Diceros bicornis minor: one gene and its partners. The protein of the gene in region 1 interacts with the protein of each later gene in a pairwise test. Links are inferred from orthologs where the notes say so. Each region holds a gene or a part of one and is shown in the gene's direction. Other genes may lie near its edges. The genes, in order: TOLLIP, TOM1L2, TOM1L1 and ODAM.

The links.
Region 2: the proteins of TOLLIP (region 1) and TOM1L2 interact in binary tests that used the Homo sapiens proteins (3 or more experiments, as listed by UniProt). The link is inferred for Diceros bicornis minor from reciprocal best matches to the Homo sapiens genes TOLLIP and TOM1L2.
Region 3: the proteins of TOLLIP (region 1) and TOM1L1 interact in binary tests that used the Homo sapiens proteins (3 or more experiments, as listed by UniProt). The link is inferred for Diceros bicornis minor from reciprocal best matches to the Homo sapiens genes TOLLIP and TOM1L1.
Region 4: the proteins of TOLLIP (region 1) and ODAM interact in a two-hybrid assay, tested with the Homo sapiens proteins (2 studies listed by BioGRID and IntAct). The two-hybrid records come from large-scale screens. The link is inferred for Diceros bicornis minor from reciprocal best matches to the Homo sapiens genes TOLLIP and ODAM.

Annotation. Positions count from the first base shown.
Region 1 is NC_080770.1:702,303-709,401, forward strand, and holds the start of TOLLIP (toll-interacting protein), read left to right. Parts: upstream 1-4,095; 5' UTR 4,096-4,144; coding exon 4,145-4,177; intron 4,178-7,099. UniProt on the Homo sapiens protein: Component of the signaling pathway of IL-1 and Toll-like receptors. Inhibits cell activation by microbial products. Recruits IRAK1 to the IL-1 receptor complex. Inhibits IRAK1 phosphorylation and kinase activity.
Region 2 is NC_080757.1:1,377,863-1,385,523, reverse strand, and holds the start of TOM1L2 (TOM1-like protein 2), read left to right. Parts: upstream 1-4,659; 5' UTR 4,660-4,723; coding exon 4,724-4,775; intron 4,776-7,661. Other genes in the region: DRC3 (dynein regulatory complex subunit 3), read right to left, coding at 118-277. UniProt on the Homo sapiens protein: Acts as a MYO6/Myosin VI adapter protein that targets myosin VI to endocytic structures. May also play a role in recruiting clathrin to endosomes. May regulate growth factor-induced mitogenic signaling.
Region 3 is NC_080757.1:32,347,895-32,355,143, reverse strand, and holds the start of TOM1L1 (TOM1-like protein 1), read left to right. Parts: upstream 1-4,238; 5' UTR 4,239-4,329; coding exon 4,330-4,517; intron 4,518-5,644; coding exon 5,645-5,715; intron 5,716-6,299; coding exon 6,300-6,384; intron 6,385-7,249. UniProt on the Homo sapiens protein: Probable adapter protein involved in signaling pathways. Interacts with the SH2 and SH3 domains of various signaling proteins when it is phosphorylated. May promote FYN activation, possibly by disrupting intramolecular SH3-dependent interactions.
Region 4 is NC_080747.1:56,692,461-56,700,199, forward strand, and holds the start of ODAM (odontogenic ameloblast-associated protein), read left to right. Parts: upstream 1-4,739; 5' UTR 4,740-4,788; intron 4,789-7,739. UniProt on the Homo sapiens protein: Tooth-associated epithelia protein that probably plays a role in odontogenesis, the complex process that results in the initiation and generation of the tooth. May be incorporated in the enamel matrix at the end of mineralization process.

The DNA of each region.
Region 1 (7,099 bases):
GTGAAGCCATTTGAGCCTGGAGTTTTCTTTGTGGAAAGGTTTTTACCTTCTTTAATAGGTAAAGGACTATTCGGGTTATCAATTTCTTCGTGATTGAACTTTGCTAATTCGTGCCTTGCAAGGAATTTGTCTATTTCACTGCATTTCATTTCATTTAAGTGAAGCTGTTCATAACACTCCCTTGCTATTCTTTTAATATCTGTGGAATCTGTAGTGATGCCAACTTTCTCTCTCCTCGTATTGGTGATTTGTGTCTTCTTTTTTTCCTGATCAGTCTGCCCAGAGGTTTATCAATTGTATTGATCTTCTAAAAGAATGAGCTTTTGTTTTCAACAATTTTCTCTGTTCTTCTGTTTTTTATTTCACTGATTTCCTCAATGACCTTTCTTTCCTCCTTGTTTTCTGCTTACTTAGAATTTAATTTGCTCTTCTTTTGCTCGAGTCTACAAGATGATGGCTGATGTCAGTGACTTGAGGCTTTCCCTCTTGTCTAACACCGGCCTGGGGCCCCTACCTACTGCTTTGCTGCACCCCCACAAAACACGATGTGTCTTCAGTTCAAAAATATGGTCTTATTTTCCTTTTGGTTTCTTTGTTATATGGGTTATTTAGTTGTGTGTTATTTAGTTTCCAAATATTTTGGAGATTTCCCAGGCACCTTTATTATTGATTATTGATTTGTTGATCTTTATTACTGATTTCTAATTTAATTCCATTTTGGTCAGAGAACATACTTTGTACGATTTGAATCATTTTAGACTGTTTTTTGGCCCAGAATATGGTCTTTCTTGGTAAATGTTCAGTGTACACTTAAGAATGTGTATTCTGCTGTTATTGGATGGAGTTTTCTATAAATACCAATCAGGTCAAGTGGTTTATAGTGTTGTTCAGTCTTTTATACCCTGCTCAGTTTCTATTTGTTCTATCGACTGTTGAGAGAAGGGTGTTGAAATCTCCAACTACAGTCGTGTACTTGTCTGTTTCTCCTTGCAGTTCTGTCAGTTTTTGCTCCAAGTATTCCAGACGTATAAACTTTTAGGGTCTTTACGTCCATTTGATAGGTTTATCCCTGCGTCGCTGTAAGATGACCCCTTCATCTTGGCAGCGTTTGGGCAAAGCTTCGAGTATTCTACTCAGCGTCCCGTGGGTCATGTGCCTTTTTACTATGAGTGGTGGGAACGGGAGCTACCACTGGCCCTGTGTGGGCTAGTGGTATTACTTCTGTAATTCTTTCAAGGGGTTCTTTCCCCAGCCTTGGGCAGTTTTATCACTTTACGGTGTTCGCTGATCTGTGCTCAGCCGCAGGCTCCAGGGGGAGCCCCTGCGGACACCGTTGCCCTTTCTCTGTGCCACTCTCTCCCCTCTGGTACTCCGCCCCGCCAACGCTGCCTTCCAAGTCTCCTTGACGTCTCAGCCAAGCCTCGGCTCAGGGAGACCACTGGTCTTGGCCTCAGTTCCCCCTCCCTGCACAGCGGCCTGGAAACTCTCTCCTGGCTGTACACAGAGGAAGCCCTAGGGCTTACCTCATTTGTTTCCTGTCTCACAGGGACCGCTGACCTTCATTGCCGGATGTCCAGTGTCTTGAAAACGGCTGCTTAATATATTTTGTGTGGATTCGAATAACGTGTACAAGTTGTTCTGCAAACATCTACTTACTGTTTCTCCCCATTGCGTAGTATTCCACAGTGTATACCCATCGCACTTTATTTATTCATTCCTGCAAAGATGACTAATTAGACTACCAACTTCTGCTACACAAACAACCGTGCAACACACAGCCTTGACTGCGTTCCCTTGTGGATCAGTGTGAGGATGTTTCCAGCCTATCTCTCAGGAGAGAGCTCATGGAGCACATGTAGTTTGCTAAGCACGGCTGCATTGCTTCTTGGAGAGCCTCCTCCAGTCTGCAGGCCTACCAGCGACACAAGAGCTTCCCATCGCTTCAGTTCTCACCTAGACCTGATGTCCCACCCTTCCTAGTTTTTACTGTTCTGATGGATGAAAAGTGGTACCTAGTTGCTGTTTTATTTCTCTTATTCTTCACGAGTTCCAGCACCCCTTCATATACTTGTCAAGCATCTGGGCTTCCCCTCCTTGAACTGCCAATTTTCCTTTTTTTTTTTTTTCTCCTTTTCTCCCCAAAGCCCCAGTAGATAGTTGCACATCATAGTCGCACATCTGTCTAGTTGCTTTATGTGGGACGCCGCCTCAGCATGGCCGGACAAGCGGTGCGTCAGTGAGCGCCTGGGATCCGAACCTGGGCCGCCAGTAGCGGAACGCTCGCACTTAACCGCTAAGCCACGGGGCTGGCCCCTGAACTGCCAATTTTCAACATCAGTTCACTTTTCTGGTCTCCTTTTCCCTTGTGACGTATGGGAGGTGTTTATACACTGTAGACATTAATTGCTTGCTGGTGTTCATCTGTCTGTCATCCTTATCTATAACGCAGATAACAAAAGCATGGACTCCATAGCATTGTTGTGTAAATTAAATGAGATAACACAGGGCCCAGCCCCGTGGCCTAGCAGTTACGTGCTCTCGCTCTGCTTGGGCAGCCCGGGGGTTGCAGGTTCAGATCCTGGGCGCGCACCGACGTACCGCCTGTCACTCATGCCGTGGCAGTATCCCATATAAAGTAGAGGAAGATGGGCACAGATGTTAGCCCAGGGCCAGTCTTCCTCGGCAAAAAGAGGAGGATTGGCAACAGATGTTAGCTCAGGGCTGATCATCCTCACACACAATAAATAAATAAATAAATAAATAAATAAATGAGATAATACGTATAATGCACTTAGAACAATACCTACCACAGATGAAGCACTCAGAAATGTTATTTTATTATTTTCATTACTCAAAGAATCCCACGCAAAGCTGTGCAGAAAACCCGTCTGGGGCTCTTGGTACATTAGGATGTTCCACGAATGCCGAGGCCGACATGTGCCATTACGAGTTGGAGCCTGGACACAGGGGTAATTCTATGATCAGGCTTCTTAATAACTCTTATCTAGAAGGAGAGAAGACTGGAGGGAGGGTAAGGTGTAATTGGTAAGCAGCAGCTGGCCAATCAGCCAGGATAGGGAGGTGTTTGTCATTGGGCTTGGGCGGTGTTTGTCTTTTGTCTGTGTTCACACGATTACAGAGTGGTCGTGGTTTTCTACTGACAGTCACTTGTCTGATCTTGTGAAACTGCTCATGTTCAACAGCAGAACTCCAGGCCCAGCACAAGGGAGGCCTTTCTCCCCTCTTTCTCTGACTGAAAATAAGGAAGCCTCTACGGAGACTTGAAAGGAATTCCTTATCTCCTGCAGCTTGGGGGTAGATAGGGCTGAGGGCTGGGCAGAGAATAAGGGGACCGTGAAACGACGGTGGAGGAAGGAAGCTGGGATTATCAATTTAGGCCTCATCCCTGACACATACATGGAGAAGCAGCATATTCTAGAAATAGCACCCTATTTCTGCTTATGTCGGTAATTCCCCTAAGAAGCACCGTCGATGATCACGCTTCAGTTCTGCCGCGGGTGGGAGCCCGGCTTAGCTGGCCCGCCCGGTGTCCCCGGAACACGCAGGCCCTGCGTCTTCCGAGAACTGCAGCCCACACGCGCCCTGACTCCTGGTTTCTGAAACTTAAACGTAAACGCTGCTCCCGGAGAGGGTACAGGGAAAACCAGGGCTGGGGGTGACACGTGCCCCGGGTAGGAGCCACATCCACCCGCGGGCGCCAGTCCGCCCCTCGTGGTGTCGCCGCCCTCCTTCCCGGGGGCCTCCGGACGGTGGCCCTCCGCCCGGGGCCCGCCCCCTCAGGGCCGCAGACCCGTCGTCCCCAGGGCTGGGCTCCGCGAGCCGCCGGCCGACGACGGGCTCGGACCAGGCCCCTGACCCCGGGCGCGGGCGGCCGGCGGGCATGCGCAGACCGCCAGCTCAAGAGCCATTTCCCGGGGCCGCGGCTCGGGGCGAGCGACTGCGCAGGCGCCCGCCGGGAGCGCGCGTGCGTGCGTGCGTGCCGGAAAGGGCGTGCGGACGGCGCGGGGGCGGGGCCGACGTCAGCTGACTGTGGCGGCGGCGGCGGCGGCCTCGCGGGCGCAACCGTCGGCTCGGCGCCGTGGGTCGCGGGCGCGGCAGCTCTCGGCGGGGCCGGCGCAGCGCCATGGCGACCACCGTCAGCACGCAGCGCGGCCCGGTGAGCTCCGGGTGGGAGGCGGCCTGCGGCGGCGGGCGGGCTCGCGGCCTCCGGGGCGCACCGGGAGGCCGACTGCGGGCTCGGGGCGAGCGAGGGGAGGCGGCCGGGCCGAGTCGGTCCCCGTTGGAGGAGCCCCCACACCCCGGATGGAGGAGGCCCGCCCGCCAGGGTGGGTCCCCCCGTTAGAGAAGGTCCCCGCAACCTGGGCGGTCCCCGGATGGAGGAGGCCCTCCACCAGGGTGGGTCCCCCGATAGAAGAGGATCTCGCAGCCTGGGTGGGTACCCGGATGGACGAGGCCCCCTACCAGGGTGGGTCTCCCGTCGGAGAAGGTCCTCGCACCTCGGACGATCCCCGGATGGAGGAGGCCACCCACCAGGGTGGGTCCGCCAACAGAAGAGGATCTCGCACCCCGAGTGGGTCGCCTTGTAGAAAAGATCCGCGTACTCTGGGTGGGTCCCAGGATGGAGGAGGCCCCCTGCACCCCGGATAGTCCCCAGGTGGAGGAGGCCCCCCACAGGAGTCAGTCCCGCAGATGGAGGAGGCACGTTGCTCCTAGACTGTGCCCTTACAGAGGAGGACCTGAACCCCGATGGTCTCTTGGGTCCCCAGACGCCCTCTCTTCCTCCGGGCAGAATGAGGCTCAGAGGCCCAGCTGTGTCCCGGGTTAGTGGCCACTGCTCAAACCCTCAGCGTTTTCATTTGCAAATGAAAGGATGGGAGCCGAGAACCCGGGAGTGCCCTCTGACCCCCAGCTCTCTCATCCCGGGGCTTCCATGCGGCTCAGTGCTGACTGTGCCGTGGCAGGAGGACGGGTGTGGACCCGCTCAGCAGGCTCCGGGGGAGTGGCCCCCAGCAGCTCCTTCACACTGGGCTGGGTCGGGTTGTCATGAGCAGTGAGGTTCTTATCAACAGAGGCTCAAAACGTGCAGCAGAGGAACATTCTGGTCCTTTTGAGTAGGGAGAAAGGTTCTTCTGATGGACAGTATCAGCGCCCTCACTCGGGAGGTCCGGGTCACCAGCGCTCCTCACCCTCCCTCGAGGCCGGGTGTTGAGGATCCTGCTGTGTCTCTCCGGCTGGGGAGGAATCCGCGCCACAGGACGTTTCTCCTGAGTGTGCAGGAAGTCCCGGGTTTGGGAGGGGCCCCTCTGGGCCCAGACGCTCGTCCTGAGGGCTCTGAATTGGACCTGACCCACACTTCTTGTCGGGCTCGGTGTGGAAGCGTCCAGAGTCCTAGAGAGATTCCCGTCTCTCCGTCCTCACTCTGTCACGGGGAACTAGAGCAGGGACTGCCAGCAGCGTTTCCTTCTACACTGCAGGCTGCTCAGAGAAGCGAGGGCACTGAGCACGCAGCTCCCTCCTCAGCCCCGGGGAAGCCATGGGCCTAGTGGTCAGGCAGCCCCGCCCGGCCAGGCCTGTCACGTGTCCTCAGCCTCCTGGTCCGGGGCCTCGCTGGTGGGTGGGACTGGCTGAATCAACACGCCATGCGGGGCTCAGTGTCTGCACGAAGGGAGCACTCAGTAAAGGTCAGCTTGTCCTGTCCTGAGGGAGACCTCTGCTCTGTGACCGCCGTGAGAGTGTGGAGCGTCAGAGGGAGTCCCACCGGGGCCCCGTGCCGCCAGAGTGCTGACGGTCCATGTGTCTGGTGCTTCCCGGGTTTTCTGTTGCAGCGCCTCGTGTGGTCCATGTGCATTGGTGTGCAGCACACGTGGACCAGCGGGGGTTCTGGGGCGCCTCCGTGACCTGTCCACGGCAGTAACGCTGGGTCTGGGCCAGAGCTGCTGGGGGCTCCAGAAAGGTGTCCTCAGTGGCTGGGGTCTTGAGTGCCACTGGAGGACTTGTGACGTGCTCATTCTGCCAGTGGTCCTGATGAGTATATTGGGCAGTGCAGTCCTGTGAAGGACCGGGTGTGGTGCCTGCCGTCGGGTTCTTACAGCGTGGCACGGGAATGCCTAGCACCTGAAACACACGGATGAGCCATGCGGTGATGGGCACACCCAGGTCTGTGGATCTTAACTCGAGTTGGGCGTCAGCAGTGGCCTCCCCTGGGTGGGGGTCGGAGTGAGTAAGGTTCTTGGAGGGAGGAGCAGGAGTTGTGGGGTGGGTGGGAGAGGGGAGCACTGAAAGCAGAACTGGGCCGGTCTGGGAGATGGAGAGGGAGAGGCCTGCTTGACGAGCCGGGGTGTGGCGGGCTCTGGAAGGCGAGGAAGGGTCCTGAGTGGCAGTGCCTGTGCTGGTGTGTGAGGGAGCAGCCAGTGTGGCCCGGGTGCTGTTCTAGACGGCTGGCAAATGGATTTGGCCCTTGAGTGTTATCAGGTCACTACAGTGTAAATTGTTTTTCAAACGTTTTTGCCTGGCACACCCTCTTTACTTTCCACCTCTCCCGCCCAGCCTGCAACCCTCTCGTTAACCAGTACTTGTAAGGACCCTTCCCAGGTATTAGCATCTGGACAGCTCTTCCTTTTCCAGCGTGCTTTGGCTTGATACTGATTGAGCCCCCACTCTGCGTTGTGTGCTCGGTGCCAGCGAGGTTCAGGGATGAGCAGGGCGCTTGGCTTGTAAACAGGAAGACGCTGCGATCCCAGCTGGTGCTGGTGAAGGTGGCGCTTGGCAAGTGCTCACTGTGCTAGGTCCTGGCGGGCAGCACTCCTGTGTTAGCCCCGTGCCGTCCTTCGGGCCGGTCCCTGCCCGCACAGGTTGGCGTTCAGCCAGGGAGCCCGGAGCCTGGACTTAGGCTTGCTCCCTCAGGCGACTCTGAAGTCTGACCATTGCCCCCCGCTGGTGATAAAGCGGTGACAGGCAGAGCTCCTGGGAAGCTGGAGGAGGAAGGACAATCTGACAGGGCTGGGGAGATTCCTTTGTCCTTGAGCAGGGCGCCTGAGGGGGCTCTTGAGGTGGGCGTGATGAGGAAAAGTGGGAAACT
Region 2 (7,661 bases), on another chromosome or scaffold:
TGGGAAAATTTTATCTTTTTATATGGACATTGTGTGGAATTCTGGGGCTCTGTAGAAGGTAGAGCAGAGAAAGCCGGGGCCCTGCTTGGTGCACCCACCCCACCCTGGGATACGCACTCTGGAAGTCCAGCTGCAGGGACAGGACATCCTTGAAGAGGATACCTTCCTGCTTGGCCAGCTGCCCAGCCTCGTCCTGTGGGCCCTGCTCCCCCACAGCCAGCTTAAGCATGTCGTCATCCATCACTCTCGGCTCCATCGAGTCGCACAGCCGGTTCATCTTCCCTGAAAAACACCACGTTCCTCTCCCACACTCCGCTTCTCCCTTTGTTGGAGGACCAGTTCTGGCTGAGGTCCTTGTAAGGTTGTGGAGCATCGTGGTGGCCAAAGACACTCTGAAATCCACCCTCCTCCCACTGGACCTAGGGGTTCATACATCTGCACGAAGGCTGCTCCAGGGCTTCCCCGGCAAACATCTGTACCCATCCTGCCTGGTGCCCATCCTCAGGGGTGCACCCCTTGGCCCCACAACCACAGCTGTGCCTCTACCCCAGAGAAGTGGACCGGTGTCCACACCGGTTTCTTGAGCCTCTGGAGCTCTGCTCCCTTACAGCCGGGGCCATCTCAGGCCTTTGGCTTTCTGTGCCCATCCTTGTTTGGGTTTCTTGGCACCAACCACTGATCATGACCCTTGGCAGCCCCAGCCAGGCATACCAGCCTGCAATGCCCCTTCTTTGAGAGCCTCATCCCTTCCAGGCAGTCATATGTGTACTCCCCACACACACATACCAGAAGCTGCCCAGTGCATAGGTGGATACTGACCCAAGCCGGCCATTCATGTCCTCCCACTGAGAAATTTGAGCTTGGGGCCAGAGGATGAGTGCCCATCAGAGCTGGCTGCTTGAGCTGGGGAGGAACTGGGGGACCGTGGACTGGCCAGGCACGTGGTTAAGCAGAGAGAGCAAGAGAGGGATGAGGCAGACAGAGAGAAGCAGAGATGGGATCCAGTAAAAAAAAAGACAAAAAGACAGACAGACTGACATAGAGACTGCCTTCTCCTTGCTAGCTTTCTGGCCCCTAATGTCCCTAATTCCAGGACCTGTGAGGGCTTCTTCCTCTCCTGTGAGAGTGTCCTGACTTCTCGCATTAAATCTTCTTTTACTTAAACTAACTCCAGTAGGTTTCTGTCGCTAACGGTCCAAGGGGATTTGGCTGAAATACCACAGGCAAAGGGGAAATCTGTGGACTTGTTCACTCACACTGTGAGGCTGACACTGGGCTGCTATTCCTGGCTGGACAAAGCCACAGCCCTGGGAAGCTGGGGTGCCTGACATCATTCTCATCACTAACCCTCTTAATGAGAACATCCAGAAGCGCTGGATGCTGCAGGAAGGCACCCTCTCCTATCAGTCTACTGGAAACTTCCAGATTCTGCCTCCTACACCCTGTGGAAACTAGGTCCTCCCTTCTGCTTTCCACCTCTGCTTCTCACTTCCCTGCCGGCTTCACCTTCTACCTTTGTCCAGGTGCATCCCCAATATCCTGGCCTCCCTGAACCTCCTGCCTTCTGGTCCCTGATGCTGGGCAGCCCCTGTGTTCTGCTCTTTATTCTACTGAGCGCTGTTGGAGAGACTCCTGGCGGTGGACTGATGGTGTCCACCGCAAACCCAGGTGGGCCTGGCAATCCTGCCACCTGGTCTTAGAGACTGCCACTGCCTGGCTGCCCTCCCTCCCTCCTCCCCCACCATCCACTTGGATGCAGCTTATGCACATATGCATCTTTCATTTCTGGACTGTCCACAATCAAATGTCCTAGTGCCTTTAACTCTTATGTGTCCTTTCTTTCTGTCCCCAGAGGAGGCACAGCCTCTCCTACCCACTACCTACACCCTCCTCCCTCCCCCCACACCCCTTTTCCACTTGTGCCTTCCATCTTCCCATTCTCTCCAATCTGTCAACACTGGCTCTATCTCCTTAGGGTGATTGATTCACCTCCTGAAGATGTTTCCAGTCCTCTGCCTCTCTCCATCTCCCTACTCTTCTGAAACAAATTTTTCCAAGATTTCCCATAGCTTGCCTTTGGGGAAATTTTACTGTGCTGCATTTGGCAGATGTTACCTGCAAAGTGTTTGTGTTTTTTTAAAGAAAGGTGCTGCACTTTGGGAAATGATTCTAAATTCTGATTTCAAAACTTTGACTTCTCATCCCTCCCACGTCGTCAAGGCCTGGCACCTGTGACAGATCAAGCTTGCCTTCAGTCAAGCCCGACAATGGCTATGCAACATGGAACAGCTGTTATGCACACAAGGGCAGGATTTGGATCCTGACTGTGCATCCTTTGGCAACTCACTTCACCTGTCTAAGCCCTCGATTTCCCATCTGTAAAAGATGAATAATTCCTCCTTCCTACATTTGTTTAAGATCATTTATTTAGTCCACACACGTAATGAATAGCTACTACATACTATGAATAAAACAGACAGATCTCCTTACCTCTGTTTCAGACATGAATCAGATAATCAAAGAAATGTTTAATTACAAACAGTGACAAGTTTGTAGGTGTAGGGAACTCTGACAGCATACATTAGGGGCACCTGGCCTGGCCGGAGGAGATGGGGCTGAGATCTGAAGGAGGAGTGGAAAGAAGAAAGGGAATCGCATAGTGAGGGCCCTGAGGTGGGAGAGAACAAGACATGTTCCACTTTGGCTGAAGCAACGCAAGGTTGAAAAGGTCGACAGGAGTTCAATTATTATCCTGGGACCCCTGGGAAGCTCCTGGGCCTTAATAAGAGCAGTGGCATGATCAGATTTTAATTTTAAGAAGCTCTCTCTGGCTGTAGTACTGAGAATGGCAAGAGTCGTGACGTGAGAGATGCCCAGGGTGGTTGGTGGTAAGATGTGGATTTGAGAGATCTCTAGGAACTTAATTTACATGCGGGACTGATCATCTGCAGTTTTCAGATAAGAAAATGGAAGCTAGTTAGAAAGGTTAAGTAACATGCACAAGTTTACACATGTATACGGCAGAGGCAGGAGAACATGACTCCAGAGCCCAATTTCTTAACCATGACTCAACTGTACCCAGGGTACTGTGGACTGTCACTGTCACAGCTCTAACATTGTCACAATGTTTCTCACAGCTGTTCTGGGTCAGGGCCAAGGCCCGAATTCTCTTCCCTTAAGAGGATTTTATCAGTAATTTACCACCCAATCTGGGTTCCTGTTGACTTGCCTGAGGACAGTGTTGTCACTGTAGATCAGAGGTTGGAGACGGGGAAGGCAGTGGAGAGTTTTACATCACTGTCAGTGGAGTAGCCTCCTCAGGAGAAACAGATCCAGAATTGTCCTGGGAAACAACCTGGGATTAATTGGATCTGAAAAATATAGCCCCTATTGGCGATGAATTAATAAGAAGAAAATCAACCATTTACTGAGTGCTTACTGGGTACTAAGTGCACATGTGTCATTTAATTACCTGTCAGCTCCGGACGCCATCAGAGAAGGGAGTCCTAATGCCCTAACTTCCCAGATGGGGAAACTGAGACCTGGAAGGGAAAGGAAATTGTCCACAGTCATACAAGGAACTACTGACAAGAGACAGACATGGAACTTGAGTATCCATATTCCCACCCAAAGCACTTTATACAGCACCAAGATGAAGAATAAAAATAAGAGAAATAATTTAACGACAGTTAAGAGGTCGGATATGAGGATTAAATTCTTGAAGAAGTTATCAGTGGATCTTTCTTTCGGGTACCTTTGTTTCTACGAAAGGGATCAGGCCAGGAGGCTGGGAGATGGAACCCCTTAAACATCTCTTCGAGCCCTGCTCCCCAAGGAAATGCTTCCTTAGCCTTTTTTTCTCATCCGCAGGCCTGAAAGCCCGGGTACTAGCGTTCTGACTGTCTCAGCGCCGCTGCAAAGTGGCTGGCAGGGGATCTGTGTGCTCATTTTGCAGATGATAAGGGCCGGCCGCACTTCTCGGAGTAAAAGGTCAGAGAATTACGTCGGGGCGCTGTCTGCCCCTGCGAGTCCTCCCGGAACCTCAGCTTCGGATCTCACCTTCTCAAGCGCGGGCTACCGGGCTGGTTCCACGCAGCAGCCACTTTGCCCGGTTGCTAGGGAAACCAAGCGCCACCACTCCGTTGCTAACGGGAAGTCAGAAGATTGACATCCTGAGTGAAAGTTGAGGGGGCACGTGACCACGTTTCTGGGCGGGGGAATACTCCTGCCACCAACCAGCCGGAGAGAAAACAAATGTTTCTCCAATCAGCACTTTCTACGGGCGGGGATATACTTAGCCCCGCCTCTTCCCCGCCCCCTATTTGAGTGATTGACTCGTCTGTTCTCCAATAATCATAAGGATTCCCTAGCTTGACCAATATATAAAGGAATCAAAGCGCACAAACTCTCGTTCGGAGGCGGGCCAGGGGCGGTGTCACTACGCCTGAGGGAGGTTCCTGTGACTGAGCTCACTCCTCCGCCCAATCGGACAGCGCGGGGTAGGTGGGGCTTCGCTCGGGAAGCCGTAGGGCCCAATCGGAGGAGGGCAGGGCAGGCGTTGCCCAATAGGGACGCGACAAGGGGGCGGGGTCAGGGGCCGCGCGTTCGGCGCTCTAGAGGGTGGGGCGGGGGCAAGTGTCAGTCAGGTCGGGAGCGCGGCGGGGTACAGCGGAGACCAGCCGGCTAACAGGGCTCTGGACGGCTGCCGTGCTGACCGCTCAAGATGGAGTTCCTCCTGGGCAACCCGTTCAGCACCCCGGTGGGGCAGTGCCTCGGTAAGGCCGCGCGAAGGGAGGGCGTCTGGTTGGGCGACGGCGGCGGCTGACAGGGCCGGAGAGGACCACGGGCCTCTGCGGGCACCGGGGCCACCTCCTGGTCGCCGGGCCCCTGCCCGCGGGCGGGCCGGGCCTGCTCACGGCGTCGGTGCCACCCTGCCAGGCGGCGCCCCGAGGCCAGCTGGGACTTGGAGATGCTCCGCGCGGCCCTCCCCCTCGGGGCCCGGCTCCCCCCGGCTCCTGGAGGTGGTGCCCGCGCTGTCGGCCTACCCCGCGCCTCCTGGGAGATGCCACTGCGTGCGCCCTTGTCCAGCCCGACAGTCTCGCTGCCACTGCCGCCGGGACCCGGTTCTCCCAGACGCCTCTCCCTGCATCCCTGCTCCTCCTTTTCAGACCAGCAGCCCGCGGACTGGGCACCCTCCCAGAGAACGCTCCCTGCCCTGAGACTTGCTAATTAGAGCTGCAACTCGGCTAGGCTAGGCCGTAGGAGGGACTGGGAAGGGGGAGGGGTTCCTAGAGGGTGACGATCTTGGCAGGGGGGCTGGCATGCCTGCACTGCCTCCGGGAAGAAGGGGGGCCGTGCTATTCAATGATAAGAGCCCTGGACTGGGAATCAGGAAGCCTGGGCTCCAGTGGAGCCTTTGCCAGTTATCCTCCCTATGACCTTGCCCTTTCTGGCTTCACGTTTTTCCTGTCTGTCAAATGAGGTGTTTGGAGGTGAGATGTGGTAGGTCCCTTCAAATGCTCAAGTTTTGATAGTCCTTGTAGCAACCTCTGCACATTGACTGTTGCTTTCTTGCTACATTAAATTTGCCAAAGATGAAATCTTTTGGTGGCAGTGTAGAGAGAGGGGTACTTGGCAGTACCTGTTAATCCTATAGGGGGCTCTGGGTCCCCGGAAGAGGGCACCAGAGATGACCAGTATCCTGGGTAAGGAAAGCCCAAGGCTAGTGAAGGGACACCTGTGTGGCCACCATATGAGATTTCCTTACTGAAAAAGCAACTTGCCTTTTCACCCAAGGCAGGAGCTTATGCCAAGTGCTCAGTCAAGAACGTTGATTAGTTTCTTTTAAAACTGAGTTCCTCCTGGTTTGTGGAGGGGCTGGTAAAAGGTCTTTTATCAGCAGGGAGCTTTGGTGTCCTTATGGGCCTGGCTGGTTTGGGCAGAAGTGACTTGTTTATTTTCTGCTTTACTTATGAATTTCCAGCTTATGTTTCAGCCTTGAGTGGGGCCTGTGAAATTACTGAGGTCTCTTCTGTTGGCTAGCTGGCATTTGGGAGCCTTTCTTTTCTCTGTGGTGAAACGTCTTTGGTAAGGGATGGTGGACACTGGGCTTGGGAAGAGTCTTTTCCCATCTCTGTGGACTACCTCCCGTGTTCCTCTAGGTTTTCACGCCCCTTTCTTCCTCATTTCCTTTCCTCAGGTGTTCGTTCACTGCAGCCATACTCCAAAAACTAATTTCTCAGTTGGGTGTTGAATTCCAACCAGTTTTTGGAGGGAGCCAGTAAGCTTGGGGGATTTTTTTTTTCTTTTCTGTCTCTTTTACAGTAGGAAGCTCTACACCTTTGAAATGCCAAGGTATTTGATGAGGGGTAGAAGTTAAAGGGGATTTAAAAATATACAAATATAAGGGATGTAGGGGAATGTAGTGAATGGAAAGAGCATGATGCTTCTGTCAGGAAGACCTGAGTTGAATCTTACCTTGTCCATTTGTTGGCTGTGTGACCCCAGAAGATTGTGTAACCCTTCTGAGCCTTAGTTTGCTGAGAGAGAGAGGTTGATAGGTACTCACAGAGTAGTGCGGCTTAAGTGAGATGATGCGTGTCAACTCTTACCACAGTGCCTGGAACACAGCTGAGGCTCAGTGAACTGGGGCTGTCACTGCTCACACAGAATCATGAAGTTAGGGCTGGATTTTCTCCCTGGAGAGGATATGAGGGACAGCTGGCCTGTCTGTGACCTGTGAAGGAAAATACCCTTCCAGGCCCCAGCATCCACCATCCCTTATAACAGACACTGGACCACAAAGGGAATGAAGCCTCCTCATTGCCACTTAGTCAGCAGGCAAGGCCTAGGTCATTTCACAGTCAGTTCAGTTCTGATCAATGATTAGAGGACAGAATGAGGTACTAATGTCTATTCTGTACTGTTGTGACAAAGTGTAAAAGTGGCTTTCTTGACATGTAGTATTGTTAGTATTCTTTTAAAAGTATGTGCTGGGGGTTGATGGGAGGGAGGGGCATACAGAAATAAAACAACCGCAGAGCTAATGATGAAATGCAGCAGTGATAGCTTACACACAGCAGTTCTACAGCCATTGTTTGCTCCTTACAGCTGCTCTGTGAAGTGGGTTTTATTGTCCTTCTCACTTTAGAGATGAGGAATCTGAGGCTCAAGGAGTGAAGGGATGGCTCAGCTGGTAAGAGGGAGAGCTGGGATTTCACAACTGTCCCGGTCCTCAAGGGCTTTCTGGTGTCAGGGGAGAGAAGAGAGGTGTATGGAACAATGACGACTAACAGAAGGCCACTCCGTAGCTCAGTGCTCAGTCGAGTGGTGGGGACTGTCAGTGCTGTTTGGAGTCCAAAGGAATTCAGAAGAGCCGGGGGGGTGGGATTGGCTTCCTTGAGTCCAAGGGCTGTTCATGAGGATGGGTGTGACTTCTCCAGTGAGAGAAGGAGACATCTATGCCTGGGGACAGGTAAAGGAGGCAGGAAGGGTGTGGGCACGTCTGTGAGCGCCAGTCTGAGGGGAACAGAGGTGGCTGTGGGCAACAGTGGCAGGTACGCTTTTGGCCCAGGGTGAAGCCCTGTTCTGGCTGGGTGACATCAAAGACGAGATTCTTTAGCTGACTTCAGCTTTTACTCTCCCTGAACCTTATTTTCCTC
Region 3 (7,249 bases), on another chromosome or scaffold:
ACAGGCACACTGCAGAACTGTGGGGAGATTTGGGTTTAGCAGGCTAGGGAGGGAAATGGAGCCAGGTAAAGATCATGAGAAAGTACAGTCAGAAAAAGGAACGTAGAATAGAGAAGTGCCCTGAAAGGGGAGGGGGGAAAGAAGGACGGTTAACTGGGGGGGCGAGGGGGGACATCCTATGCTAGACAGGGCAAAGAGGATGAGGCTGAGAAATGGCTGTTAGATTTGATGATCGTATTGCTATAGAAGTTAGTTTCCTAGTGGGACAGCTAGGGGAGAGAGAATGGGTGGTGTTTGGAACTGGAACCATGGAAAAAAAGAAAGATAAAGAGAGGGCTGGAGAAAATACTATGGGGAGGGTGGCAGAAGCATATTTAAATATTCAAATAGAGAGGAGGTGCCTATAGCAGGAAGAGTTGGGACTTAGGTTAAGCTATTGTGTTGTGTTCTCCTAGCCTGGAGCTGGATGGCCTTGGGCCAGTCACTTCCCTTCTCTGGCTGTCAATTTTTTCATCTACAGAACGCTGGGGATAGAGGTTATGTGAATTCTAAGCTCATGTCCAGATCTGACAATCTAAAAAATTTAGTGGTAAGAACAGAATCAAATGAGAGGATGAAAATGACTCTTAGGCACATAAATCCTGGTGCTGGGTCAACTTTGTATTCTAGACATGTGTACTTGCCATGTTCAGTCACCTCATTCTTCAGGCACCATCCTCTAGAACCCACTTTTTTTTTAAAGTGTGAACTGGTCAAGAGTACCACCTACTCCCTAGGGCTCTACCCATGAGAGGTGGCATAGTACACAGGTTAAAGTCACAGCTTCTGGAATCAGACAGTTCTTCACTAGCAAGGTGACTGTGTGAAAAATTATTTACTTTGGTTTTTCTAATCTGTAAAATAGAGTAATAATGGTACTGGTTTCATAGAGTTATTATGGGATTAAGTGACATAATGCATGTAATGTATTTAGAGCACACCCAGCATATAGTTCTAGTACAGAAAATATTAGCATTCTTTTTTTTTTGTGAGGAAGATCAACCCTGAGCTAACATCCCATGCCGATCCTCCTCTTTTTTGCTGAGGAAGATTGGCCCTGAGCTAACATCCACACTCATCTTCCTCTACTTTATATGGGACGCCGCCACATTGTGGCATGACAACCGGTGCGTCGGTGTGCCTGGGATCTGAACCCATGAACCCCGTGCTGCAGAAGCAGAGCGTGCACACCCAACCGCTTGCCCACCGGACCGGGCCAATACTAGCATTCTTGAATAAGTACAGAAAGAACAGCAGGATCATGTGCTAGCAAAATATATGACTGCCCCTACTCTTATCTTCTTTGAGAGGTCTCTCTTTGAATCAAACAGATCCTTAAACAAAATGAGATGTCATGCTCAATGAGCAGATTCACCTAGTAGCAATAATACAGGCTTTGGAATCAGGCAGCCATGATTCAATTCTAGCCAAGCTATGTATTAGCTTTATTTTTCTTAATCTCAAATTACATATTTGTAAAATTGAGGTGAATGCTACCTGCCTCCAGGATTGCGAAGACTACGTTGACAGATTTCCTGTTCTGGGCTCTTAGTGCATTTTTTTTTTCCTTGGGAAGTTTCCCTCTGAGCTAACATCTGTTGGCAATCTTCTTTCTTTCTTTTTTTTTTTCCTTCTCCTCAGTACATAGTTGTATATTCTAGTTGCAAGTCCTTCTAGTTCTTCTATGTGAGCCATGGCCACAGCATGGCTACTAACAAATAAGTGGTATGGTTCCGCGCCTGGGAACCGAACCTGGGCCGCCAAAGTGGAGTGCGCCAAACCTTAACTGCTAGGCCATCACGACTGGCTCTAGTGCGTTTTAAATAAAGGTTATTTTCTTTGCTTCCACCTAGCATTATGACTTACTTATAAATAAATGCTTAGGAAGTGTTTTGGGAATTGAAATTGTGAGATTTTGCTCCTGGTATCCAGAAATTAGAACCTTGTTTCTATTTGAGACTCTGCTCCTTCTCGGACCTTACCTTGGCTGTGAATTCTATCCTGCTCCCAGACCATATTAACATCGACTGAGTTGATTTTCACTTCTGAGGAGGAGAGGGATCATGGAGAAAGAGGCAGAGCACAGAAGGAGAAGGCTGCAACCACCACAACACCCTCGTGGGCATGTGGAGAGAAAAGCTTCTCCCCAGGCATGGCTGAGACAGAACACAGGTAGTACTCATCAACCTGGTTCTGTTTACCCGGCCTCAATGTCCTGAACACGCTCCCCGGTGCCATTTTGCACGTTCTCAGTGCCTCAATCCTGTAACACAAGAAAATAAAAAACCAAACCACCTTTCAAATAAGAAGTAGCAGAGTTGTGTTAGAAATCTGTCCAAATGGTTGGTTCCTTCCTAGTTCTCGTTTCCTGATGGAAGGCCACTGACAATAACAGTAACCTAGGCTAAAATTGACTCTATTTTTTTTTTTTTTACTTTCTCTTTAAGGTTGCTTAATCGTAGGGTCCAGAGAAGGTGAAATATTTTGCTACAGTCTATAACATGGAACAGAGATTAGGTTGGTGATGTCACAAAAGAGGTTTTCAACAGTGTCAGCAGAGGCTGGACTGATGACTAAGGAAGTTGATAAAATCTGAAATAGCTACTCAACCTGAATAAGTAGGTGGAGAATATGAGTTACAGGCAGGACCAATCCCATTATGAGAAATACCATGACAACAAAAATGTTTCATTCTAGATTTTAGATCCCAGCTCACTTAGGTCAAGAAAAATTTGAAATATACGTTTCCCCTGGTATGTGAAAGTTCGCTTTACGCCACTTCGATTTTTCGAAAGACCTAACATGAGTACCTGTTTTCGCTAACTGAAAGAAATCTGAAGAGCATTTTCACTTTAAGGAAAAAAGGTGAAAAGAGAAAATAGCGTCCAGGGTTTTATTTGCAGCCAGTTAATTATAGAGGCGGGTCGCACTCTTAGTAGCCAGAGTGGCGCCGCCAAGCTCCCTCCCCTGGAACTGCACTCAGCCTCGCAGCCTCAAGCCGCCACAGCTTTGAACTGTGTGAGCATCTGTGCTTTATCTCTATTTATCTTGGTAGGTTATTTTTTTGGTCTGGGAAGGTTCAAAAAATTTTCCCATATAAATGAATGCTAATTGCTCCTTCCTTTTATGTCTTTTCAGTTTACCAAAGCTTCCATGGGAATGCTATACTTTCAGATAGCGGGGGAAATCTGTAACCGAATTAGAGGGGGAAAAAAAAAGTTAGTCCCTTGGCATGCATTGCAATTGGTTTTTACTTCTATTTTAAAATATGTAAGACTAAGGACATAAATCAGACAAAGCCCCTTTGATCTCTCTCCTCATCACTTCCAGGGCCAAGGAAGGGCGTGTGGAACTGGGCCCAAGCTGACCACAGAATGCAAGATCTGGAGGCACAGGGAGGCCATTTTATGGCGAATTGCCATCACCTGGAGACACCCGTCTCTCTAGCAGGCTCCGGCGTCGCTGGAGATTAACATCGCTAATCAGACGTTAAATGAACGCACAGGAAAAGGAAATAAATTCCTCTTCTGAAAGGGCAGCTGGAAAGGGGCTGGACTGCTGAAGCTCGGATTTACATTCCAAAGCAGTGCTGAGGCCAAACACACTCCTGCCTGAGCAGAAGGAAAGCCTCTCTCCTCAGCATCGCTGGAGAACACAGCTCCCAGGAGGGAGGGTTAGGAACCGACAGCTTGCGCGGCGCCCTGTGGTCCCTCAGGAAACAGAGGCGAGACAAACGACGCCGGCTCCTGGGAAGTCCCTAATTTCGAAGCCAATCCCTCTTCCTATCCACCACCTGCAGCTTTAAAGGGCAAGGGACACACCTCCCCTCCTGGATCTCTGGGGCGAGGGTGGGGGTGTAAATATTTCTAGTTATTCCATTCAGTGGTTAAATATTTATTTTGTGCGTGTCAGACACTGACCTCAGCGTTTTACGCCCTTAATTCTCACAACAATCCTGAGATTTGTATTATTAATCCCATATTTCCTTCTCTACGAAGGAGAGCAAGGGGCGCAGAGAAGAGCAGCAATTGGCCCGTAAGCGGCGGGGTCAGAGCCCGGGTCTCTCATTCCCGGGCTGTGGCGCCGGGGCCGCCCGGCTCCGCGGGGGCGAGAAGCCCATCTGGGTCCGGAGCGACACCCCGTGGCCCGCCCGCGCGCCCCACCCGGAGTAGGGAGCGCCGCCTCCCCGCCAGTCCCGCGGGGCGCGAGGCAGGTGCGCGGCGCCCCGGAGCCCCGCCCCGCGGCCCCGTCCCCCGCCCGGTGCCCGGCGCCCCGCAGCGGCCAGGCGGGATGCGCAGCCTCGGCCCGAGCCCGGGACGCGCTCGGGCGAAGAGGAGGAGCCAGGGGCCCCGAGCGGGTGGAGTCGGGAGCCGGAGAGCGGTGGAGTCGGATTTCTTGGGCCCGGCTCTCTGGGGCTACCATGGCGTTTGGCAAGAGTCACCGGGATCCCTATGCGACCTCCGTGGGCCACCTCATAGGTAAGGAGGCACGAGGGGAGACGCCTGGATAGACTTTGGGGACTGGGGGACCCTTCCCGCTGGACTCCGTTCTCGCCCTGCGGAGGGCGGAGTTGGTCCAAGTTTGAGGACAATCCCTCCCCTCCCCCTGCAACTTTCCCAGGGCACTCGCATTCCACCCGGCCTCTGAGGCATTTCTTTATAGTCCACTCTTTCTAGAACCCGTCCTCAAAATCGCCCTTTTGATGTCTCCTGGGGAGTGGCCCGAACAGGTGACCCACGCACGGGATTCAGGTGCGGAGTGTTTGGGCCTCTCCAAGGAAAGAGCGTAGACTCGGCCAGGGGAATGGTGTTCATCAAGTGCGTTCACTCGAGGGCACGGTATTGTTCTGTCCGCTTTGCAGAGGGGGGAAGGAAAGCTCAAGGAGGTGAAGAAGTGATGTGACCTCACTGTGACAGGCAGGTCTCTCCAAACCAGTTCTCTCTGGCGCCGGGCCCTTACAACCTGAGTTAATCTGAGTAATGTACGCGGAAGCAGAAGCCAGTGACTGGGCAGTTTTCCCAGCACCAACTCCCGCCTCCCTCTTCTCCCTGATGCCTGCCTTGGGGACCCGGGTGTGGCACGCGCGCCTATCAATGCTAAGCAAAGCATGATAATGTCTGGAACTTAGTGGGGGTGAGGAAATGTGAGAACCTGGTAGTTCCAGTGAGGAGGCTCAGATTTGGAGTTTTGGTCGCACCTCGATTAACTGCTGTGTGACATGGAACTTGCCACTTATCCTGAACCTTCCCACATCTTTATAAAATGGTGAGAGTCACTATCTTTGAAGAGAGAATGCTTTCTAATGTTGCTGGATATATCCCTATTGAATATTAAAATAAACCCTGAGCAGAAATGGATTCAGACTGCATCATCGTAGGCTGATTAGTTCTTTAATGCTGTAAACATTTACTCACTGCCAGCTGTATACCTGGGACCTGGCGCAGGCAAAGGTAAGACCTGGTCTCAACCCTCAGGGAACACAGTCTTGTAAGGAAGATGGACACAGTTTTGTAGTGATAATATGGTATCTTTGCAATACAAGAAAAATGTAGAACACCCAAAATTTATGAAAATGGAGAAATTAACTCTGTCATGGCTTTTGAAGGGTGAATAGGAGTTTTCTAGGACGATGGAAAGGTGGGAGGAAGACCAAGGAATCAGGCAGAAGGAACAGCAGTATGTGCCTACACAGCACAAGGTTGGTTAGCTTTGTCCATTGGATGCCAAATTCAAATAGCTCCTTTTCTGGATGGGAAGCAGGCTAAGCTTTGGGATTCCCCCAACCGAACTTTTATTCTTGATCCCCCTTCATTATCCTTTTTCATTTTCTCTTCATTCCCCCAGGACCCCTTTTTTCATGTAGGAAAGATGTTAAACTCGTTTAGTTTGAGTGTTCTTTTACCCTTCCCAAACAGCATTTTGTATTCTTAAGGAGGATATCTGGAGAGGGAAAAACATCTGATTCTTTAATAATGGGGTTCCAGGAGGTTTAGCCGGCCTCGCTGGCCCTGCAGCCAGGTGTTGTGCCTGCAGTGTTTGTTAATAGGTCACCCATTACTGTTGCAACAGCGGCACCCTGAACTTGACTTCTGATTGATTCCTGAATTCTTGGGAATTGCTGAGAAAAAAAGCTCTTTGCCCTTTGGTAACATAAACTCAATGGTACTTGCTAGTGAACTGCAGGCAGATTATTCCAAGAAGACCAGACATTTCGTATTTTGTTGTAGCTCAGACTCAACATAACAGCTTATTCTTTGCAGAAAAGGCTACATTTGCTGGAGTTCAGACTGAAGATTGGGGTCAGTTCATGCACATCTGTGATATAATTAACACTGCCCACGATGGGTGAGTACAGTGTGTGGTTCGTGCCTTTGCCTCTGATAAGTAGCATCAGAACTACAGCGCATTTTCTCTTGCAAACTCTTTGGTTTTCTTGTTGAAAGTGTTTTCTTCACCCCTTAGGCACCCGCTGCCTTTTGAAGACATGTCAGCTTGAAATATTAGGACAGCTGTTTGTTTCAGCCTGTGGAATATCTGAGAATCCATTATAATTTTTCTCCTCTTTGCCTTTTCCTGAATAGTTTCAAGTTTTGTCTTTGTGAGCCTCAAATTCCTTGTTCTTTAAAGAGAGACAGATTGTTCTTTAGAAATTCCCCCTGCTCTGATTGCCAGTATTTTATGTTACTGTAACTGAGAAATATTGTCAAGGAGCTAGTGGACTCCTGGGGGTGACCTGTCTCTGGGCAATGGTCATTACTAACCAGGAAATAATCTACCAGTCTTTTTTCTCTCTCCCTGTCACAAGACAATTTTTTTCTTCCAAGTGCCAACTCACCCATGTTCATGCTGTATTCTTAAATGACATGCTATCTTTTATTATACTTTTTAAATTTTAGAGAATTAAAGTTTTAAAACTCATTAAGAAGGCCAACTATTTTGTGAATTTAGTCTGAATTACAGGTTGTTATAAGGGATACAATTCTGTTAATTTTCCTGTGCATATTAAAGTGATAAGTGATATGAGGGTGGGGGGTAGTCACAAGGGGTAAAGGAAGACATGTATATGGTGATCGACAAACAAAAATGTACAACCAAAATCTCACAATGTTATAAACTATTAAGACATAAATGAAAAGAAAAAGTGATAAGTGACAGCAAAACAGATTTAGTCTAGTTTATGTTGATGAAAAGCTTAATTATTGGCTATATC
Region 4 (7,739 bases), on another chromosome or scaffold:
TCCACTTTACTAAAGTAAATATGTCAATGTTTTTCCCCACAGAAATCTCCCATAATGAAATTCCTAGTTTTGATTTGTATTTTGAGTGTGCTTATGCAAAGAACAGTAAGTCAAAGAAGAATCTGAGAAAGATCTTTACAATTGCCTTTTAAAAAATTTCTAAGTAGAAAACATTTCTATGGTTAGACTGTATATTAATTTATAAATTCAGTAAGTTAAAAATAGGAACACATTGCTTTGACCTGAATATTTAAATAATTTTCTAAAATCTATTTACCCACAACTTACATTTTACAAATGTAAGCAACTTGCCATATTGACTTGAGATCTTTGCAGTAAAAGAGATAAAATGTTATCAGTCCTGCTGAAGCTTCCCCTAGGGATCTGATTCTCCTCTGCCCCATCCTAGATGTAGAACATTCTGAAGTTTGTGTGTATGCTTCCCTGGCTTGTTCATGTAATTGTAGTGTGCACATACATGGCTCTTAAAATATGTAAAAAAGTTTTGTGAATTTTTAAAAATTTACATAAACGACACGTAATATGTTGTATATCATTCTGCAACTGGCTTTTTTCAATGTTTATATCGTTGAGATTCAACCACATTGATGAATGGACCAATACTTTCACTTTAATTAATCTTTGTCATGCTAGACCAACATTATAATGTATTATATCTGAGTAAAATGTAAACTATATTTTCTATATGATCCTGTTGAGTTGATGATTCTTATTCAAGGCCTTTGCAGGTGGCCTAAAAGCATTTTTTTAATTATGTATGCTATCAGCTAAAAGTTTGAGTACTCAATAAAATACAGTAGTGTATGTACATCTATGTGCGTGTGTATATATATGTGTGTATGGTAAAAATCTTAACCCAAAATGGAAATTAAAAATTATAAGAGAAAATACTATTTTCTATCAGTTTCAAAATGGATAATCTTTTTTTAATGACTACACAATTAGAAAAATTATGAAATTCAGAGATGAGTATTATACCAAGAAGAATTTACTCTGTAATCATTTTAAATATAAAGTAACTGTATTCGAATAGCAAATATTCTAAAAAGAAAAACATTATTAAAATAACTAAATGAAGTAAACCATTTTTTTTCTTTGTTTTTAGTGGGGAAATATTCAAAGCAACTATGATTCATTCAATGAAGAGGTAGTACTTTAATATTCTTACATTTAAATATAACTCCATGTTTTATGTTTTCTAATGCCACATTTGCAGCAACCCATTTCTTAACTCTCAAAAAACCATTTTACAAAAATTGGTGTAATTACAGTCACTGTCAAGAAAATTTAGTTAATATAATACTGATGTTATCTTCATAAACTTTTAAATTTTTAATATAAATTCAGAAAATAGAGTCCTTCACTTTTGATAGAGTTCTAAGAGCATAATGTATAAATTCCTCAGATTTACGTGTTATAATTTGAATCAGAGGATATAAACTGGTAACATGAATGCTAAATCCTATGTATTTTGATGATTTTCCTTGAGTGAAATATTAATCAATCTATTTTTACAACTGGGTAATGGACCAATGGTACATCTTGCTTGAAAATACATTAATTATATTTTAAAGTGCTGAACTTCTCCACACCAGCTGTGGTGATCAGTGGTAGGGCGTCTTCTGTCATGTCATCTTTACTCAAATCTGGACAAGGAAATATACTCTTCTATAAAATGATTATTTAGCCTAAAATGAAACTATGAAGTTATTGTGAAAATATAATAAGAGATATAAAAGAGAATAGACAGAATTTCCAAAGCAAGTGTATGAACACTCTGCATTTCAGTTACAGGGATTATTAGTGAACGTCCTTGTTTAAAAAAGAAATTTCTATTCCAAGGATATTTTGTAATCATACCATTATGATATAATATGACTACCTGGTGCCAGGGAACATTCTGGAGAGGCATCAGAGGAGTTTGAAGATTCTCTGGGGGTGGGGATTTCTCTCTTCATAGGGATTCCTCCTTCATTCACAGTCTTCATCGTCTGCCAACTTCTGGGAAAGCATAAGGTGGGAGTTTTTATTCTGCCTAACCACTGCTCCATAGAATATGTAGAGGCATCTGAATATGGCAGGCAAACTTATATCAAGAATGTTAGCATGTCTTCATGTCATAAAGAACTGGTAGAAACACCTCTAGTAAGCATTGAAAGAATATATTCAAAACTCTGTCCCAGAACTGAAATAAGCAAGTCTTGAGTCAGAATTCTGTTCTCATCACCAACACAGACATTTTCTTTTTCATTTGTCAATTTTATCCTTAGAATTTAAGTGACTTTGACTTTAATTACAATCATTTTGAACACCAACCTTCAGAAGAAAATTTGCCTGATCTTCTGATAGATGATGGATCTCCATTTTTTACATCCCTTTAAAGAACACAAGGTAACTTTAAATTTGTGTGTGAATATAATAGATCTCCTCTGAAATGATTTTCTGATAAATAAAATATTTAAACCCAGACAAAATACTTGTGACAGGTAACAGAATTTGTTGGATACAAAATATAGAAGCTAGGATGCTAGAGTCTGACCAAGTCGGTCCATATCCCAGGATCAACACTTAGTAAGAGCATAGCCCAAGCAAATTGTTGACTTTCTGCGTGCCTTGGTTTCCTCACCTGTAAAATTAAAATGATACTAGCATTGACCAGCAGAGTTATGAGTGTCATACGAGATAAAGTAATACATAGTAAGCAAGTAGTAAATATAAACATTATTGTTCCAAGATTTAAAAGAAAACCAGTGAGCATTTTCTCTTGCAACGAATCACTTTGCTACATAAATAAAACCATAAGAAATATCAGTAAGTCTGGAAGAATATTGATTCTGTCCTAGTTCTTTAGTCCATAAATAAAGATCAAATTCCAGATTCAGCACACTTCCAGATACATCTTAAGACCAAATTGCCATTCTCCCATTCAGCAAATATAAATTCCCAAAAGCAAGCATTAATTTCCTACTATTTCCCAGGCATTCTCTTTGGAACTATCACTTGAGATAGAATTTCATCAGTGATCATTAGTATTGGCTGTCTCATTTTATTGATGAGAAAACTAAGGCCCAGATTATTGGATTATTTCTTCCACACATCACACCACATTCTGATGCAGGTGTGATATATGACTTTCCTGCACTACCTCTAGAACACATGGCCTCCACAGTCCCAATGTCAGGGGAAGACAGAGTGAGGGGGCACACCAATTCTTAATCGCCATAACCAGGAATAGCACACATAACTTCTCACAGTCCTTTGGTCTGAACTAGACATGTGGCTCCATCCTACCTGTAAGGAAGTCTGGGAAGTAAAGGGGAGAAATAAAGCATTTATCCTCTCTGCAACAATAACATTGTGTCTAATAGTAATGTAGTAGGGTGAGTATGTGTGTGAGAGGAAGAGAATTCAGAGGACAATCAAATAAAATCAATACAAATTTTAGTTTAAGTTTTGACCTACTAACACCAAATATTTTTTTATTTTTAGATATGGATCTCTGAAACATCTCCCTGCTAGAACACTGATTTGTGCATCTCTTCTAATAAATCCAAATCTTACTCTATATTCTTTACTCAAGAATTTGGTTCTATTTCGTTGGTGTCTGTGGATTATATCACGTACACTAACGGAAATGGATAACAACCGTAATAACTTTGGAATTTGAATTTCTTCACCTTTAGTAATAAATCTCTATTGCAAGCATGTAACTTATTGCTATACTTTATTTCCCAAGAATTTACCTATAGCAGTCAAGACCATTACTTTTTGTGTGGCGTGCCTAACTTTTATGTCTTTTTTTTTTTTTTTTTACCATATGTGTATCACACATGGTATCACAACATTTACCATTCATTTAAATATAGCTAATTCCTTCTGCAAAATAAAAGATTCAAAAATAGCAAATCATATACTAAGTAACATGTCTTAAGGAATAAGACCTTACTTTGCTACTCCTGGAGCATTGCTTCAAAGATATTCATTCAACAAATAGTTTTTCAATCTCCTTTGTGCCAGGAACTGTTCTAGATGCTGGGAACATAGGTGTGAACAAAAATAGCAAGGAGCTTACTCTCATTGAAATTACATTACAGTGAAGCTAAGCAGAAAATAAACAAATGAAAATTCAAAATGAAGATAAAACTGGTGCCAGAAAACTAAGACATGGTGCTGTGATAGTTTTGGGGAATTTCAAAATCATTTGACACAAACTAAATTTAAGCTTCCATTAATAATATACCTTAGTGTAGGAACACACTTTCTGGCTCTTCTCAATGAATCAGAGAGAAGGCTTTAATTGAATACCTCTTCAGATTCTTGTTCTCATATATGAGGGATATAAATAAAAAATTATTAAAGTTATGTGAGTCATTCAGTATGCAAAATGCAGTAAATCTCAATGATTTTTATACACTAGTCAGGAAGTTATCTTCACTTCATTCTATATTTATTCATTCATTCAATGAATATTTTTGAGTTTCTATTAAAAGTCATGCATATGATAGAGATGCTGAAGATAATTATCTATGACGATAAGACAACGTTCTTCTCCTCATGCACCTTATATTCTACAGGTGCACCCAGGCAATTGACAAGTAGTTTGCAATAAAATATAGATAGTAAAAAAAAAAAAAATCTTATGAAGAAAAAATACAGGAAGAAATACTAGTCCCTGCTTTATAGCACTTCTGCTTAAAATAATCCTTTAATTTCTTACCAGAGTGGACACAACTTATGCGGTATCATTGTCATAGGCCCTGGATCCAGGTAAGGCAGAATCACTTACAGAAAGATCTTTGGAAAGGCCTACTCTGTTTGACTCTGCTAACAGTCTTGTGTGCATACATGCATGCACACACACACAACTAACTACATTTACTTCAAGCATTTTGCCCTTATGGTTGATTGTACCTCAACTTTCTACAACAAAGGAGAGTGGAAATAACAACTTTCCCAAAATGAAAACAATAATTAAGGCCTGAAATGATTGTGAAAGATGATGGTTTCTTGTGAAAATCTGACCATTGCTAATTTTTAAATTGCAGTAAAATTATCCATTCATCCATTGATCAGCACTTAGATTGTTTCCATATCTTGACTACTGTGAATAATGCTGCAATGAACATAGGAGCGCAGATATCTCTTCAAGATACTAATTTTGTTTCCTTTGAATATATACCCATAAGTGGGATTGCTGGACCATATAGCAGTTCTACTTTTAATTTTTTGAGAAACCTTCACACTATTTTCCATAATGGCTGCACCAATTTACATTCCCACCAACAATGCACACATGTTCCCTTTTCTCTATATCCTTGCCTACACTTGTTACGTTTTGACTTTTTGATAATAGCCAACCTAATAGGTAGGAAGTGATATCTCATTGTGGTTTTGATTTGCATTTCCCTGATGATTAGCAGTGTCGAGCATCTTTACATATACCCATTGGCCATTTAACCTTAATAAAGGAGGAAATCCTGCCACTTGTGACAACATAAATGAATGTGGAGGACATTATGCTACATGAAATAAGCCAGATACAGAAAGACAAACACTTCATGATCTCACTTATATGTGGAATCTAAAAAGGTCAAACCCATAGTAACAGAGAGTAGAATAGTTGTTACCAGCGGCTGGGGGATAGGGGTAACGGAGAGAGGTTGGTCAAAGCGTACAAACCTTCGGTTATAAGAGGATAAATTCTGGAGATCTAATACACATCATAGTGATTATAGTTAATACTAATGTTTTGTATACTTGAAATTTGCTAAAAGAGTAGATCTCAAGTATTCTTACCACACACATAAAAAATTGTAACTGTGTAAGCTGATGGATATGTTAACTAGCTTAGTTGTGGTAATCATTTCACGGTGTACATGTATATCAAATCATCCCATTGTACACTTTAAATATATATATTTTTTGTTTGTCAATCTTACCTCAATAAAGCTGGGGGGAAAAGTGCAATAAAATTAGATGAAAGTCTTTCTACAAATAAATGAGTGGTGCCTGACAGCAAAGCACAGAGGAGAAACTGTGATTAGTAGGTTAAAATCGTGGCTAAAATCATCAAATAATTATGAAAAGGAGTTGATTCGCTCTGACAAATGCAATGGTAAAGCAGGACAATGCACATGAAGAAGGGATTCAAGTATGGTGTCTGCAAATCCTTTCATCTCCCTCCAATCATGTTATTAAATGTTCATAGGTACAAAGAAATTTTTACATTAAAAAATATGAAAAATACTTCATATTGTCTAATTTCAATCCCTGCAGCTTCATTGTAAGCTCTATTTCTATCACAAATTCCTCCTGAAGAAAGAAAACAAAGCCTCCAATGGTAGCTCTAGAAAAATCTTCAAAAGCAACTTTCACACTTTAAGTTCTAGAAGGAGGGTAACATGGGGAAGAGATACAAGCCACCTCTTTAACTTTGTGCAATGTGATTTCAAATACTTACAGTACTCAGTAGTCCTATTCTATGTGGACCAAAAGCTCTCAATCCTTTCCCTTATATGCAGAAATCAATTTCCCAGACAATTATTATTATCTCAATTGTTTCCCTGATATTCTCGGTAAAACCTCCAAACACCTCAAATTACAAATCTAAACACAGTAATATAAAAACTTGGCATTTATTTGCCTATTTAGAATAAAATTTTGCTTATCTGAGGAGATTTGTTCTTTAACTTCAACAATCTGAAGGATCAAGAAAATCACAATACAGAAAAGACAATTTTCAATGATACCATCTCCAGGAATAATTATAAAATGGTCAAAAGTCTTTAGTGCCCCCACCCTCATAAACCTCTTCCCTTCTACCCCAGTATAAGCTCACCCTCTTCCAATTCTATTCCCACCAAAGATACCTTAACAATATGAGTGACCTCTTCCAATCATTTCTCCTTTCTGGGGGTGGCCTGCACTTCCATTTCTAAACTTCAATGTTCTAAATTCTTAGCAATTACTCATTTAGGTAAATGTTTAAGCATTCCTTTTCAAAAAAAGACAGCATTCAAACAGAGCTCAAAACTGTAACATTAAAAGTCTGCATCTGAACAGAGTTTGAAAATCCTAATGAAAATGAAATCACGCTCTTTGAGGGAAAATTCTCACATCAGTGAGCATGAGATAAGCAGAACTCGTGGATTGAAAAAAAAAAAAATCTGCCCCTTGAAATTGCCAAGCCACATAAACAACTGACAAAAATACTATTCAGTTACGGCTTTGGGTATGTACACGGGTGACTGGCCTCTGGTCTGTCCTTTTAAGCTTTAGTGAACCAAACATCAGCATTGGCCATGAGACACTGAATAAGCCACTGGGTTTATCTGGGATGAATTCAGTTCTCTTGACTTTTCCTCATGTCTTTGTTTCCTTTGGCTTTTCTCTGGTTGGTAAACAACATGTCTCTATTCTTGTCTGTGAATACCTTTATTGATTCTGTTGTCACATTTATTTTCTATGTACTAAACTTTAATCCCTGGTGTATGTCTTGGGTCAGTTTGTCCTTTGTTGCCATAAATGACCTTAATCTATGCCCTGCTTAATGGAATTCTTACGGAAGCTGGATACACCTCCTAATGTTGTCACAGGGATTGAGGGATTATTTTGTAAGCTTCTGAGTTGGCATCGAATTTCCTCTAGCATTTAACATTCTAAAAGTTTGTCACATTAAAAAAAAAATGATGTCTAGATTTTAACTCATTCTCACTGCG